Xenopus tropicalis: one gene and its partners. The protein of the gene in region 3 purifies or fractionates together with the protein of the main gene of each other region. This does not show direct contact. Links are inferred from orthologs where the notes say so. Each region holds a gene or a part of one and is shown on either strand. Other genes may lie near its edges.

The links.
Region 1: the proteins of cdk13 (region 3) and cdc37 purify together in Homo sapiens (affinity purification with mass spectrometry; 3 studies listed by BioGRID and IntAct, with this or other methods). This does not show direct contact. The link is inferred for Xenopus tropicalis from reciprocal best matches to the Homo sapiens genes CDK13 and CDC37.
Region 2: the proteins of cdk13 (region 3) and ccnk purify together in Homo sapiens (affinity purification with mass spectrometry; 4 studies listed by BioGRID and IntAct, counting the BioPlex papers as one, with this or other methods). This does not show direct contact. The link is inferred for Xenopus tropicalis from reciprocal best matches to the Homo sapiens genes CDK13 and CCNK.

The regions. Positions count from the first base shown.
Region 1 is NC_030679.2:137,666,564-137,671,734, reverse strand, and holds the start of cdc37 (hsp90 co-chaperone Cdc37), read left to right. Parts: upstream 1-1,803; 5' UTR 1,804-1,825; intron 1,826-4,204; 5' UTR 4,205-4,237; coding exon 4,238-4,339; intron 4,340-5,171. UniProt on the Homo sapiens protein: Co-chaperone that binds to numerous kinases and promotes their interaction with the Hsp90 complex, resulting in stabilization and promotion of their activity. Inhibits HSP90AA1 ATPase activity.
Region 2 is NC_030684.2:90,613,632-90,618,816, forward strand, and holds the start of ccnk (cyclin-K), read left to right. Parts: upstream 1-1,630; 5' UTR 1,631-1,701; intron 1,702-4,340; 5' UTR 4,341-4,374; coding exon 4,375-4,571; intron 4,572-5,185. UniProt on the Homo sapiens protein: Regulatory subunit of cyclin-dependent kinases that mediates activation of target kinases.
Region 3 is NC_030682.2:64,599,644-64,604,222, reverse strand, and holds part of cdk13 (cyclin-dependent kinase 13), read right to left. Parts: intron 4,276-4,579; coding exon 4,198-4,275; intron 3,517-4,197; coding exon 3,400-3,516; intron 2,384-3,399; coding exon 2,252-2,383; intron 981-2,251; coding exon 775-980; intron 1-774. UniProt on the Homo sapiens protein: Cyclin-dependent kinase which displays CTD kinase activity and is required for RNA splicing.

The DNA of each region.
Region 1 (5,171 bases), on a different chromosome or scaffold from region 3:
CTACAACTCTCAGAAGCCCCAAGGTATCCTGAGAGTTAAAGCTTAAGGACCAACTGCAGAACTGCCCCCACATCCCAATAGAAAGTAATGGTACAATCACATACCCTATAGAGCAGGGAGCAGGTTGCAGAACATGCAGGTTGAGTCTGAAAGAGCAAAAAAGAATACAAAATGGAGCCTCTGTCTATACTGCCCAACTGCATGCTGGGTATTGATTGTAGTTTTATATTAATCCTAGCTGTAGGCTAATTGTTAGATACAAACTACATTACCCAGCATGCAGTGGGACAGCCACACTAGAGGGAAAAACTTTGGCTAGTTTCCAAACTACAAACCCGCCAAGGCGCTAAAAAATAGCCCAAATCTGTACCTTGGCTGTACATTGGAACCCCACCTGGGCTTTAAACTAGTAGAAGAGTTATTATAAAATTATGCTTTTTTACACTTTGAAATGGCTTTTACAGATTGTTTAAAGGTTAAATATGCTAATTGCACAATTGTGTGTGCTAATGAAGTGTGAGACTATTTAATCAAGTTCAATGCACTTGTTTTTATGCCTGAAGAAGGCTAATTTGGTCATTTGGCCCTGGGGCCAAACTACGGAATTATAATGACGGGTATAGGCAAGTCATTTTGGGGACTGCATCAACGAGCCGATGCGGTCCCAGATCCGTCAAAATTTTTTAACCTGCCCGATTTCAGGCCAGATGTCGGTCATGCAGGCCCGTCGTTCGTGCCCCTACACGGGCCAATAAGCTGCCGAATCGGTCAAAAGGTGCCCATACACGGGCCGATTGTAGCTGCCAATATCGGTCCCTTGGACTGTTTCGGAAGCTTATTGGCCCGTGTAGGGGCAGGAACGAGGAGCACGCCCGACCGATATCTAGACTCACATTGGCCACATATTGATCGGGCAGGTTAAAAGATTTAGTTGGATCGGGGAACGCATCGGCTCGTTGATGCAGTCCCCGAACCAACTGCCCCATTGCCATTATAATTCGATTGGCCCCAGGGCCAAACGATCAAATTTGCCTACATGTTCCCCGATATCACCCACCCGTAGGATCTTCACGTGTATGGACACCTTAAGGGACCGATATCGGCCGCTAAAATCGGCACGTGTATGGCCACCTTAAAGCACAGATCTGCTTGCCTGGCAATTAGGCACATTTGGTAACTGACCCTCAACCAATACCTAATGGAAACCAATTATATATTGCTTCAAAGTGATTTATATTTACAATTGTAACGACAAGCAGTATTTGTATATCCCTTTCTGTTCTCTGGTTTTGCTACATTGTTTCAGGAGTCAGAACCAGCAGCGCAAACAACAGTAACAGCCAGGCAGACGCTGCTTTGAACAAAAATCACAAAATATCAAAATGATTTATTTTTCTTTTTAATGTATGTATACCAGAAAGCTGCCTAGAATTAAGTTAAAATAAAACAGATTCCGGATGGTGTTCCCCTTTCACAATATAAGCAGTTGTTTCATGTTTTCCTCCCCCTTGGGCCGCCTATAATGTTGATTGTGGAAAAACCCTTCGCATACCATCCTATAAAGCCGTTTCTATCTCCAATTCCCCTCCACAAACCACTCCCTACGGCAGCAAGAACAAACCTGCCTGTCTAGCAAAGGCGGAAGTGACGCAAGGAGAATGGAATAGGCAAAAAAGGAAGTCGGCCCGAAGACTCTAGCGTAAGGGCAAATCAGCCGCGTCGAGGTTAAGGAAGTGATGTCATGGAGTGGGCAGGCTGAGGCAGAGAGTGCAGGAGCTTTCCAGAAGCTTGCGAGGGGGCCTGCAGCTGCACCCTGGTGTGCCAGGTAATGGCTTCTTCCCACAGCTGGCTATTTCTCTTATACCTGCCTGCGGTGCTGCTATATCCTATTTACCTATACGGACAGGCTGTTTGGGCAACAGTTTAAGGCATTAAGCAATACTCCCTGGTATAGTGAGCGCTGTTCTTGCCCGGGTAGCTGTACTACAACTCTCACAATTATTGAACATATACTCCAGACTTAAAGTATACTGGGAGTTGTAGTCTAACAATATCTGGGAGCCAGGCTTTATCATCATTAATGGCTGGGGCACAGTATATTATTTTCATCTACCCCCCCCCCCCCCATATCCCTGCCATGTTTCTGATTCTAGTCCCTGACATGTGGCAAGTAAAGCAGGAGTTGGGGGGTCGCACTGTCACATCTGGGGGGGGGGGGGGGTAACCATCAAATATTACATTACTGTTGTTTTTTTGATTTGCCAGGAAGGATGTAGAGACAAAATTATACCAGGAAATTTACTCACCATAACAGAAAAGTAACTTTATATATCCCCCAGTTAGGGGGGGATTTGGGGTGAGTGCTTATTTGTGCCCTGGGTACCCCTGGAACTATAGCAGGGTGACTGTTACCCCAATGTTTCTATATATCTGTAACCTTGTTATGGGCTAAGGGGGCCCAGCCTGAAGGCCAGTTAGGGGGGGATTTGGGGTGAGTGCTTATTTGTGCCCTGGGTACCCCTGGAACTATAGCAGGGTGACTGTTACCCAATGTTTCTATATATCTGTAACCTTGTTATGGGCTAAGGGGGCCCAGCCTGAAGGCCAGTTAGGGGGGATTTGGGGTGAGTGCTTATTTGTGCCCTGGGTACCCCTGGAACTATAGCAGGGTGACTGTTACCCCAATGTTTCTATATATCTGTAACCTTGTTATGGGCTAAGGGGGCCCAGCCTGAAGGCCAGTTAGGGGGGGATTTGGGGTGAGTGCTTATTTGTGCCCTGGGTACCCCTGGAACTATAGTGGGGTGACTGTTACCCCAATATTTCTATATATCTGTAACCTTGTTATGGGCTAAGGGGGCCCAGCCTGAAGGCCAGTTAGGGGGGGATTTGGGGTGAGTGCTTATTTGTGCCCTGGGTACCCCTGGAACTATAGCAGGGTGACTGTTACCCCAATGTTTCTATATATCTGTAACCTTGTTATGGGCTAAGGGGGCCCAGCCTGAAGGCCAGTTAGGGGGGGATTTGGGGTGAGTGCTTATTTGTGCCCTGGGTACCCCTGGAACTATAGCAGGGTGACTGTTACCCCAATGTTTCTATATATCTGTAACCTTGTTATGGGCTAAGGGGGCCCAGCCTGAAGGCCAGTTAGGGGGGGATTTGGGGTGAGTGCTTATTTGTGCCCTGGGTACCCCTGGAACTATAGCAGGGTGACTGTTACCCCAATGTTTCTATATATCTGTAACCTTGTTATGGCTAAGGGGGCCCAGCCTGAAGGCCAGTTAGGGGGGGATTTGGGTGAGTGCTTATTTGTGCCCTGGGTACCCCTGGAACTATAGCGGGGTGACTGTTACCCCAATGTTTCTATATATCTGTAACCTTGTTATGGGCTAAGGGGGCCCAGCCTGAAGGCCAGTTAGGGGGGGATTTGGGGTGAGTGCTTATTTGTGCCCTGGGTACCCCTGGAACTATAGCAGGGTGACTGTTACCCCAATGTTTCTATATATCTGTAGCCTTGTTATGGGCTAAGGGGGCCCAGCCTGAAGGCCAGTTAGGGGGGGGATTTGGGGTGAGTGCTTATTTGTGCCCTGGGTACCCCTGGAACTATAGCAGGGTGACTGTTACCCCAGTGTTTCTATATATCTGTAACCTTGTTATGGGCTAAGGGGGCCCAGCCTGAAGGCCAGTTAGGGGAGATTTGGGGTGAGTGCTTATTTGTGCCCTGGGTACCCCTGGAACTATAGCAGGGTGACTGTTACCCCAATGTTTCTATATATCTGTAACCTTGTTATGAGCTAAGGGGGCCCAGCCTGAAGTCCAGTTAGGGGGAGCTTGAAGACCTCTGTATTAGCTTTTAGTGGGGGAAATTCAACACAGGACAGATAGTCCTTCAATGCATTTTGTAGAGACAAAAAGATTAGAAAGGCTCCATTACCGTTTGGCCCTAGATTCAGTCCTTGATAGTGATGAGGCAGAAGCAGTTATGACAGTAGGTACTAGTAACTGCTGGAATTGCATTGGCTCTGTCGAGGTATTTTGGAGATAATTATGAACACTTAAGACATAAGAGGATCGTGCTTAGGGCCTTATGGATACATCAGGCTTTCTAGACACACAGGAGCTGCTTCTGTAGCAAGTAGTAATATAGACCTTTTATATGTTTGAATTCTTGTAAACAAGTCTTTCTTTATGCCCTTCATTTCAGTGAATCTCTTGTTTGTCTGATCTCTGCTACACAATGGTGGATTATAGCGTGTGGGACCACATTGAAGTTTCTGATGACGAAGATGACACTCATCCCAACATTGACACTGCCAGTCTTTTCCGATGGCGTCACCAGGTAATGCCACATAGGGGGGAAGATTCTCTCTCCTTTCCTCATTGAAAATGTTTTAAAGGAACAGTAACACCAAAAAATGAAAGTGTAAACTAAAATATAATGTGCTGCTGCCCTGCACTGGTAAAAGTTGTGTGTTTACTTCAGAAAGTCTACTATAATTTCTATAAATAAGCTGCTCTGTAGCCATGGAGGCAGCCGTTCAAAGGAGAAAAGGCACAGGCACATAGCAGATAACAGATAAAACACTATTGTATTCTACAGAACTTATCTGTTATCTGCTATGTAACCTGTGTCTTTTCTCCTTTTTTCCAGCTTGAATGGCTGCCCCCATGGCTACACAGCAGCTTATTATATAAATTATTAGGGCTGGGCGATATACCGCTTAATACCGAATACCGGTGTTTTTTTTTTTAAAACTATATTCATTTTTCAGATACCGCAATACCGGGGTGTCAGGGTACTCACCCGTGTGGGCTGGTCTCGCACGCCTCCTTGCGCACGTACATGTCAAAGCGTGCACGTCCGCGACGCGCTGACAGCACCAGTTCTGTGCATGCGTGGGGGGTATTTAAAGCTATCAAACGCCTCCTCCTGTGCTATGTTGTCTGCGGCCTTGCCTGGGAAACTAAGCCTGCCTGATTTACCTTACGACTTTCTGTTGCCGATCCTTCGCTTGCCTGACTCTGATTTTCGATACTGCAGTAATTATTCTCTAATTTATTAGGAAATGGGGTTAACACCTAATCATGCATGGAAAAAAAAAATACCGTCAAATACCGTGACACCGATATAATTTTGAAAAATACCGTGATATAAATTTTTGGTCATACCG
Region 2 (5,185 bases), on a different chromosome or scaffold from region 3:
AAAAACTAAGAGAAGGGGCTGACAAAACACTGGATGGCAAACTCTCAGATCAGGTAAACTATTGTTATTCCTTGATGTGGAAAAGATTTTGACAAGACTGGTGTACAGTAGCAGTACATCAGTGGGGTAGTGTGTTTGGGGCCATGTATAGTATTGTAAGATGGAAACCAGACAATGATTCCTTTATTCAGCAAAGTACACTAACAGCACCACCACATGTTGTAGCTCTTTAAACAGAGCATTCATCATTCCTATCACTCCTTCTCCAGTGGGAGCTTGCTACCTTCATTCCCAATCTGTTAAACACTATGGTCAGGTATATACAAAACCAATTAATCTTCTTGCATGTTGGCTGTAGAGTCATTGTCTTTAATTTAACAATATCTGCAAAAATGGCCTGTGTTTTAGTACTATCCCTTGAGCAATGTTCCGTCTAGGCATTTGGGGGGGGGGGGGGCGGTGGACTGTGTACCCTTTTTTATGCAACGTTAGTGGGTCAGAATCTGTACAAAATTACAGAATGGTAGTATGATCTCTGCTGTCTGGCCAGGAACATTGCTCATTTACTGGCATATCAAAAGCATGCCTTCAGTCTCATAGCCCTAAAATATCTTCCAAAAGAGCTGCTGCCGGAAAACAAACCAGCAACTGTACTATCAATAAACTTCTGCTCAGGAAAATAGAGATTGGCACCCAAGGGGGTTGAGCAAATAACATAAAACACATACCTACTAAATTATGTTTGTCTTATCCTGGCAGAAATACAGAGCTGAAAAGAAGAAATTGCTTAACCCCCTAAATATTGCATAATGGCTTTCACTTGGTGACATTTCTTGCTGTACAGCACTGGGCTTGTTTTGCAAAACCTGAATCAAAATGTTTTTTTAATGGTCTTACATGCGTTATCATGGTCTTCTTTAATAAGCTTTACAACTAATAAGATCTAAAACCCCCAAATGGATACAATATACATTAGAGTCTATTTAGAGTATTACATTAACTACCAAGCTATAGCTATGTGCTAAGATGTAGTGCAGCAAACATGTACCTCCCCTAATTCATATGTGCCCAATACTTTTTCCCCATTACAAGCTTTATGTACAGGCAGCCCAGAAAGTGCAAGCTCTTGTGAAACATGTAGTGCCGCACTGCGCAGCAGGCCGACATTGTGGACACTGTATTAAAGAACCAAGAACTTACCTCCCTCCTCCCCTCCCCTCGTCGCCCTGGAAATTACAGTAGTCAAAAACGGCCACGGAGAATCACGAAAAACACACCGACTGCGGCTAAGACATGCAAGATGAGCTTTTCTCAACCTAACCCCAGTACTCCAGGGGTAAGCGTCATTTCCCAGCTAGCCATCAGTGATTGGAAGGCAATCTGGCTTCCTCAAGCTCTTATTGGCCGCTTGTCCTGGCAGTCCCCATGCAGGGCCGCCCCTCATCCAGCACTGAAAGCTAAAGCTTCAACATCGAAGTTTGGTTGCTCCGAGACAAGTGCACAACTCCACCCACCTCCGCTTGACGCTACTAGTCGTAATTGGTTGCTTCAGTTATGTCTCCTTTCTTAGACATTCGGGAGGAGTATGGGCTGCGAGTAGTGACGTGATGCGGCCCATTTACTCCAAGATGGCCGCTGAAAGCTGCTTGTGCTGCTAGCGTCCTGGCTCCCGAGGGGAAGTAGCGTGTAGGCTGGTGCCTGGTAAGTGTGAGGATTGATTGCGGGGTCGGCTGCCATTCCCATTGCTTGAGCGTACAGTTACATACATATGTATATAATATATATAGCAATGATTTATGGGACGATTGCTGATAGGGAAAGGGACGGGGTCTTAGAAGAGTTAAGAGTGTAAGTACAAGGGAAGTTCAGGGCTGTTGGTGAAAGCATGTAGGGTTCATAGGGGTCTATTCATTGTTGCATGAACGGCGATTTTTGTGTTACCAACGCATTGCCTTTGGTTCCTAGGCCTCACTTGGGCCGCAGATTAGAAATAAGTGCCATATTCTGTTCAACCTGTAAGATGAAACTCGGGCCTCATTCCGCTACAGGACCTTCTGTCTGTCTGTCTGTGTTCCACGGGACCTTCTGTCTGTCTGTCTGTCTGTCTGTCTGTGTTCCACGGGACCTTCTGTGTGTCTGTGTGTGTTCCACAGGACCTTCTGTCTGTGTTCCACAGGACCTTGTGTCTGTCTGTGTTCCACAGGACCTTGTGTCTGTCTGTGTTCCACAGGACCTTGTGTCTGTCTGTGTTCCACAGGACCTTGTGTCTGTCTGTGTTCCACAGGACCTTGTGTCTGTCTGTGTTCCACAGGACCTTGTGTCTGTCTGTGTTCCACAGGACCTTGTGTCTGTCTGTGTTCCGCAGGACCTTCTGTCTGTCTGTGTTCCGCAGGACCTTCTGTCTTTCTGTGTTCCGCTGGACCTTCTGTCTTTCTGTCTGTCTTCTGCAGGACTTTCTGTCTGTCTTCCACGGGACCTTCTGTCTGTCTGTCTTCCACGGGACCTTCTGTCTGTCTGTCTTCCACGGGACCTTCTGTCTGTCTGTGTGTGTTCCACAGGACCTTCTGTCTGTGTGTGTGTGTGTGTGTGTGTGTGTTCCACGGGACCTTCTGTCTGTCTGTGTGTGTTCCACAGGACCTTCTGTCTGTGTGTGTGTGTGTGTGTTCCACGGGACCTTCTGTCTGTCTGTCTGTGTTCCGCTGGACCTTCTGTCTTTCTGTCTGTCTTCTGCAGGACTTTCTGTCTGTCTTCCACGGGACCTTCTGTCTGCGTGTCTTCCACGGGACCTTCTGTCTGCGTGTCTTCCACGGGACCTTCTGTCTGCGTGTCTTCCACGGGACCTTCTGTCTGCGTGTCTTCCACGGGACCTTCTGTCTGCGTGTCTTCCACGGGACCTTCTGTCTGCGTGTCTTCCACGGGACCTTCTGTCTGCGTGTCTTCCACGGGACCTTCTGTCTGCGTGTCTTCCACGGGACCTTCTGTCTGCGTGTCTTCCACGGGACCTTCTGTCTGCGTGTCTTCCACGGGACCTTCTGTCTGCGTGTCTTCCACGGGACCTTCTGTCTGCGTGTCTTCCACGGGACCTTCTGTCTGCGTGTCTGTCTGTCTTCCACGGGACCTTGTCTGCCACTTATGGCCTTTTTTTAGTGTGAGCTAAAAGTGTTAGGTTGTGTGGGAACTTTATGCTAAATGCTGTCATGTAAATTCAGATTGTGGTTGTTGGTATAATGTGTGTACATTTTATGTTCAGTGTTACTCAATGAGAAAAGACACAAGTTGGTCCAGGTGAAAAGTGCCCTTATCCTACTGTCAGTGTTTCCTATAGGGTTGTATGGCAAACCTGCAGCCTAAAGCACAAAGTGGTGACATAACTACACCTGCTTAAAAACACCTGTCTAAATGTAACTGGCCATACAGGTTGATAATACTTTTCAAAAAGATAGACAAAGTGCTAGAACTTTGAAAAGAAAACACATCCTAGTACAACTGTTTTTAAAAATGCCTGCTTTGTTATGGAAATTAAAATTAATCACATGATTGGGTGCAGCAGGTGTGGTTCTTTCTCTAGTTTTGCCACCCACGTGAACAATATCTGGAATTGATTTGTGTTATTGGCAGTATTGTAAGCATCTTTGTGTAGAGGGCTACCCATCACCTCCATACATGCTTCAGCTGCTGTTTGCCATAGATTAGTGTGGGTGGCATTGACATGTGTATGGGGCACTGCTTTCTACCTGATTGCAGTGAAGAGAGAATAATAAAGCATTAGGATAACATTTTTTGGGTTGAGATCCCTCTTAAGTAAGATCAGTCAGCAGAGAGTAACATTGCTTGCTATACTATAGGAAGGTCTCTATCTTACAAGAGCAGTAGCAAATTAGATACTCTCTCCCTGTAAAAGGTAATTAAAAATAAAACTGTTTTATTAAAATTGTAATATTGGTGTGCTGATCCTCCTGCTGATATACTGTAAATATATCAACAGTAACTCTGCCGGCACTCATGTTTAACAGATATCCAGTGTGCCTGGGTACAGCCTATGTTGTATAATAATTTAATCAATATAAGGCATAGGTCCATACTTGCTGTCTTAGGAAGCGTGACAACTTTTATTAAGTGCCTTTGTCAAAGTAAAAAAAAAAAGTGTCACTCACCTCCCTTCTTGCCACAGTTTTGTCATGCTTATTAAGACCTTTGAGTGCAGGCCAATGCCGTATATTGATTATATATACATTCATTTCCTGTTGTTACAGGTCATTTAAACACAAAAAGGTTTTTATTTCATATCGCAGACAGAATATTGTGAGCTTGTTTGCTTATGAGTTTATATTTCTTTTCAGATCTAACCTGTGTTTCAAAGGTAAAACTGCATCAATGAAAGAGAATAAGGAGAATTCTAGCCCTTCCACTGCTCCTGCAAGCCTGGACCATGCAAAGCCATGCTGGTATTGGGATAAGAAAGACCTGGCCCATACTCCATCACAGCTGGAGGGGCTTGATCCTGCTACAGAGGCAAGATACCGGAGAGAAGGGGCTCGGTTCATATTTGATGTTGGAACCCGACTAGGGTTGTATCCTTCACTGTAACTTGTCACTTTTCATCTGTATTTTTTTAAAGTATATTTAGAGTAAAATGATATTACATAAGATCTATCAATGACCTGTAAAATATTTACTTCTAAATATTAAATGTGTAATGATGTCCCATGACTTAGTACAGAAACAGTAACAACAAAAAATGAAAATGTATCGAAGTAATTAAAATGTAAACTGTTGCCCTGCACTGGTAAAAGACTGTGTATTTACTTCAGAAACCCTACTGTAGTTCATATAAACAAAACTGCTCTGTAGCTATGGGGGCAGCCATTCAAATTTAAATAGGGATAAATGGCACAGTTTACATAGCAGATAATGGAGAAGCTCTGTATAATACCATTGTATTCTACGTAGCATATCTGTTATCTGCTATATAACCTTTGTTTTTGCTTCCCTTTCCATCTTGAATGGCTGCCCCCATGCTTACACTTCAGCTTATTTATATAAACTAGTAGTGAGAGATCCAGCTGTAGGATGGAACACCCAGATGTGGAATTAATTCAGATTTAGGTTCCTATATGTAATATGCTCCTGGCTTTCTTTCTTAATTAGGTTCCTGTGCTTTAAAGTTTTTTTTTATTTGCAAATT
Region 3 (4,579 bases):
GAACAAAAACAAAATTCTGTTTACATGTTTAAGATCATAGTTATTTGTATGGCAATTCCACATATCCCATGCGCCTTGCTGTTTTTATTGAGAGAAGCCAGTGCGAGAAGCAGGCCTGCTCCCCTCCCCTGGCCCCTGTGACACGCAGACACAGTGACACAGAGAAGCACAGAAGGAGCAGGCAAGCACTGGCGCAAGCGTGGCGCGCTCGGCGGGGTGGTGCGAGCCCAGCAGGGGAATCCAAGATGGCAGGCCGTGACAGGCTGGAAATACAGCTAACGAGCCAATTTTTGGGAGAAGTGACCATTATTTTAAAAAATAAATTTGGCGATTTGCTATGGGCAAGGGGACTCTACACTATATTAAGGGCTACAGTAGTAGCCTTTCCTTGCTCTTTAACTTCCTACATAAAACTCAAGTTAGTTAATATTTATTGTTAGGATCTGTGGTTATAAAAATGGCAAAATATTGGTCATAAAGCATGGTAATGCTTTGTTGGGGAAAAAAAGGCAAATTTGTTCAAATTATTTTAGCGTTGCCCTGTTCAATAAATGTACCAAACATACTATAATATTACAAACTGTTTTAGGAACACATACAACATTTTTAATACAAGTAATGGCAATGGCACAGGGTAAGATTTCTCATCAGAGGTTAAATCTAAGCTACTGCAGGCAACAAATCATTCATTAACCAGATAAGTGTTATCAAACATGGCCAGCCTCTGGTGCTGGTAGATGTTAGCTAGCGCTGTACCAAGAAGAGCATACCTACCTACTCCAACACTGGGGAATCCCTGAGTCTTTAGCTGTGAAGATATCTGCATGCCTTGTGGGGTGCTATTTCTGCTGTCATCCATGCCCAAAGATGAATCTTTCCTCGGTACTTTGGGAACTGTGAGATCATCACCCATCCCAAGTTGTTTTTGCCTTCTGCGTTTTTTACTCCACAACTCATGACAATCCTGCCAAAGGGGTAGGCTGCAAAGTAAGGAGAAAAATATTACAGATGATAGGAGCAGTATAATCCCTTTTCAGGCCGACACGGACACTAAAAAAACTACTCTTCAAATTATTAATGTACATTAAAAGTTACCTATAGGTCATGTTGATCATTTTTTACTAATAGGTATGAATTTGTAAATAATTGTTACTTGAAGTTTCTAAACGGGACTGTTTTACCAACCTGACTGTCCCTTCCCAATCTGTCAGTTACAGCTTCTAATGCTAACAAACTCCTGCTGCACAAATATGGCAGCCCCCTCATAGAGGAATATAGGGGATACGATAGGTAATGCAAAAGTAACAGGCAAATACTTTTATAGCAGAATTATACATAGCATGCAATACAAGACAATGTTATGATACATGTAATAAAAGGTTTAATTCCGTGTCAGTATCTCTTTAAAGAATAAGTAAACTTTTTTTTTTCTATTAATAAAATTACTCTATATAGCTTCCCCAAATTGCCTAACTTTGTGCCTCTGTTCTTTCTGACCTGGTTCCTGAGTTACAAGCTGCTCCGCCCCCACTTCCTGTTCAGGTCTCCCATTATATCAACTACCTCTAGTAGAAGTGGAGAGCCTTCTGCGCATGCCTGGAGGCAGCAGGAGCCAGTGCATTAGCAGGGTTTTTTTCTTGACGAGAGACCTGAACAGGAAGTGGGGGCGGGTCTTCACTCTGAACAAGGAAGGAGAGGAATCGAGCAGCTTGTAACTGAGGAACCAGGTCAGAAAGAACAGAGTGACAAAGGTAGGTAATTCTGGAGGCTGTTTAGAATAATTTTACTGATAAACATTTTTTTTTTCTAACAAGAATAAATCTATATAAACAGCCAAATTAAAACCACTCTTCTATAACTGCAGGGGAATTCAGACCAGCAAATAAGCACTAGCCCCCAATTTCACCTAACTTTTTAAGAAAATAAAATATTTATAATGATTTTTAAAAATATTGAGCTTGGGAATTATCAGAATTTCATTTGGGTGTCAAACAATTTTTTCTTCACTGGTGAGACTGAAGTTTCAGCAGGCCCCCTGGGGCCAATTTCACCTTTTCACTGAACTAGAAAAAGTATTTTAGAAAAGTTCTACTTGGCTATGCAGGCTATACAAATAATGGACCATGGATATTCTAACAAACCCAGCATTCTGGGTGCTATGGCCAGTACAACACATTAATGAATGAGCAATAGTTGCAAAACAACTGCAAAAAAGACTGGCACACACTATGGGAAAACCGTTAGTACTTACTCTGGCGGTGTCATTTTTGAGGGATCTACATCCCGAAGGAATTCACAAAGTAGGGCTTGCTCTGCTGTACAACGCTTGTTTGGATCTAGAGCCAGCATATGGTCAAAAAGATCTAAAGCTGCATTGGGGATGCTTGGGGAAGAAAAAAAAACCAGCTACATGTTAAAAGTGAACAGTAAAATACTACTTGAAATAATACAAATCAAATTAAGTCATCATAGAACTAGAGAATTTGCCATTACATTGAAAACAGGCATCTCTCGTAGGGGTGCTGCTGCCACAAGGTGAGTTGAGAAATTTGCCTCAGGCCCTCGGCAAGTTAGAAGAGGCAGCCAATAGACACTCCTGGTAACTTAAAGAGTTGAAATTCCGATTTTTACATTGGGATTTTGTCTGTTATAGAGGAGAGTGCCTCTACAATGTATAAAAAGGAAGTGTGTGGGGTGGTTTTTACTTGGCCACCTCAGGATAGCAAGAAGCCCTGAGACCGCGCTGATCATGTGGCACCCTGCAGAAGGAAATCTATGCAGACATACCTCTCACCTTGCTTAAATCTACCCACAAAAGCTGGGAAACACAATGAGTGATATTGAACCTACTCTCCAAAAAATAAAAATAAATCACGCTACCTTCTACTTCCTGACAAGATCCTATGAGCAACTAATCTGCTTGTCTGTCATTGCCCTTAGAGATGTTTTTCAAGTTTGTGTTTATTTACCTGGCCTGTTACTGGCTTGTCTTGACCGCTACTACCCCCCACTATTTGAGTTGGTATGCAAAAACACAATTGATTGCAAATCTGCAATGTCCAAAATTTACTGTGTTTTATAATTATTCAGCCACCCAATGATTTCATACAAATAGGTCTTTGGAGATGTTTGATATGCTAGGAGCCACAGGATTCTCCTGGATGCTACATCCTGGGAACAGGCCTTCTCTTGCACTATGCAATAAACAACCCCAGGAGCAGAATTTTTTTCATATACTACAATTACAGTATATATCAGTTGTTACATTTGTTAAATCAGTCTATCTGTGCAATGATAAGGATTAATCACAAAAAGAATGGCATATGGGAAGAATTATAAAATTATAGTAAATATTAAATGTAAAAAAAAAAAAAAAAAAAAAAGTACAGCAATACTTACAAAACAAACTCCTCTCTAAGTTTTCTACGATACTGTTTCTTTGGTTTCATGGTGTTGAAATACGGTAACTTTATAACATCTGGCCATACAGCAGGACAAGGACTTCCACACATTCGGCTTAAGAAAAAAAAAAAAAAAATAGTATTGTTATTATGCAACAGAGGATTAATTATATTATATATATCTGGAATGCTTAGGACCTGTATTTAAAAAAAAAAAAATTTGAAAAAGGTCCCAAAAGGGACCGAAACGTCGGTTGTACATGCAATTATAATACACAAGAGACTTTTTGAAACACAAAGACCCTTGGTGCTGGCTGTTTTATTTTGATATTTATATGATATCCCGTGCACAGGGGAGATTTTGGAGTGTGGTGCTGTCGTGTGGACTGTTTTTTATATTATATATATATATATATATATATATATATATATATGGCTTACGCACTATAATTAGTTAAATTCCCCTTAGACTTGTGTATGAACAGTACGTAAACCAGATTTTCAAAATCTATTCTACCGTGCATATGCAAGGAAAAAGGCTGAGGCACACACTTATAGGGATAACAACCTGGGTGCAAATCAGATAAACAGTGTAAATATGTAAAAAATGCTGATGCACACCAGGAAAATGTAATAAAAAAAAATACTTATTTTATTTAGATCAAATCCATTTATTTTTTAAATACAGGTCCTAAGCATTCCAGATAATAGATCCTAAGCTGATCACGAAGAAACCTTTTTTAATTCTTTGTCTAGAAATGGTAGATAAAAATAAATGCACATTTACACAACTCACCTTATAAGTTCAAGCTGTGCAAGCTCCTGATTTGCTTGGAAGATTGGTTTTTTTGTAAACAGCTCACCCAGGATACAGCTGAAACATGGGAAATTTAAATAGTAACCTAGTTATTAATCAGTAGAATGTTATTTAACTCCTTCCATGTTGTAACATGAAAAATTCACTTCATAATCAGTCCTTAGATTTCCAGAATCTTCCTAGTTGACACACCACTGGCTGCAGTATCATCATCTGTTATGCAGCCATCAAAGAAACCAATTGGAACATCTCTGCAGGTATGGGATCCTATATTCAGAAACCAATTACCCAGAAAGCTTCAACTATAAGAAGGCCATGTCCCATAGACTCAATTTTAATAATGTAGGGACCCATAGGGTTA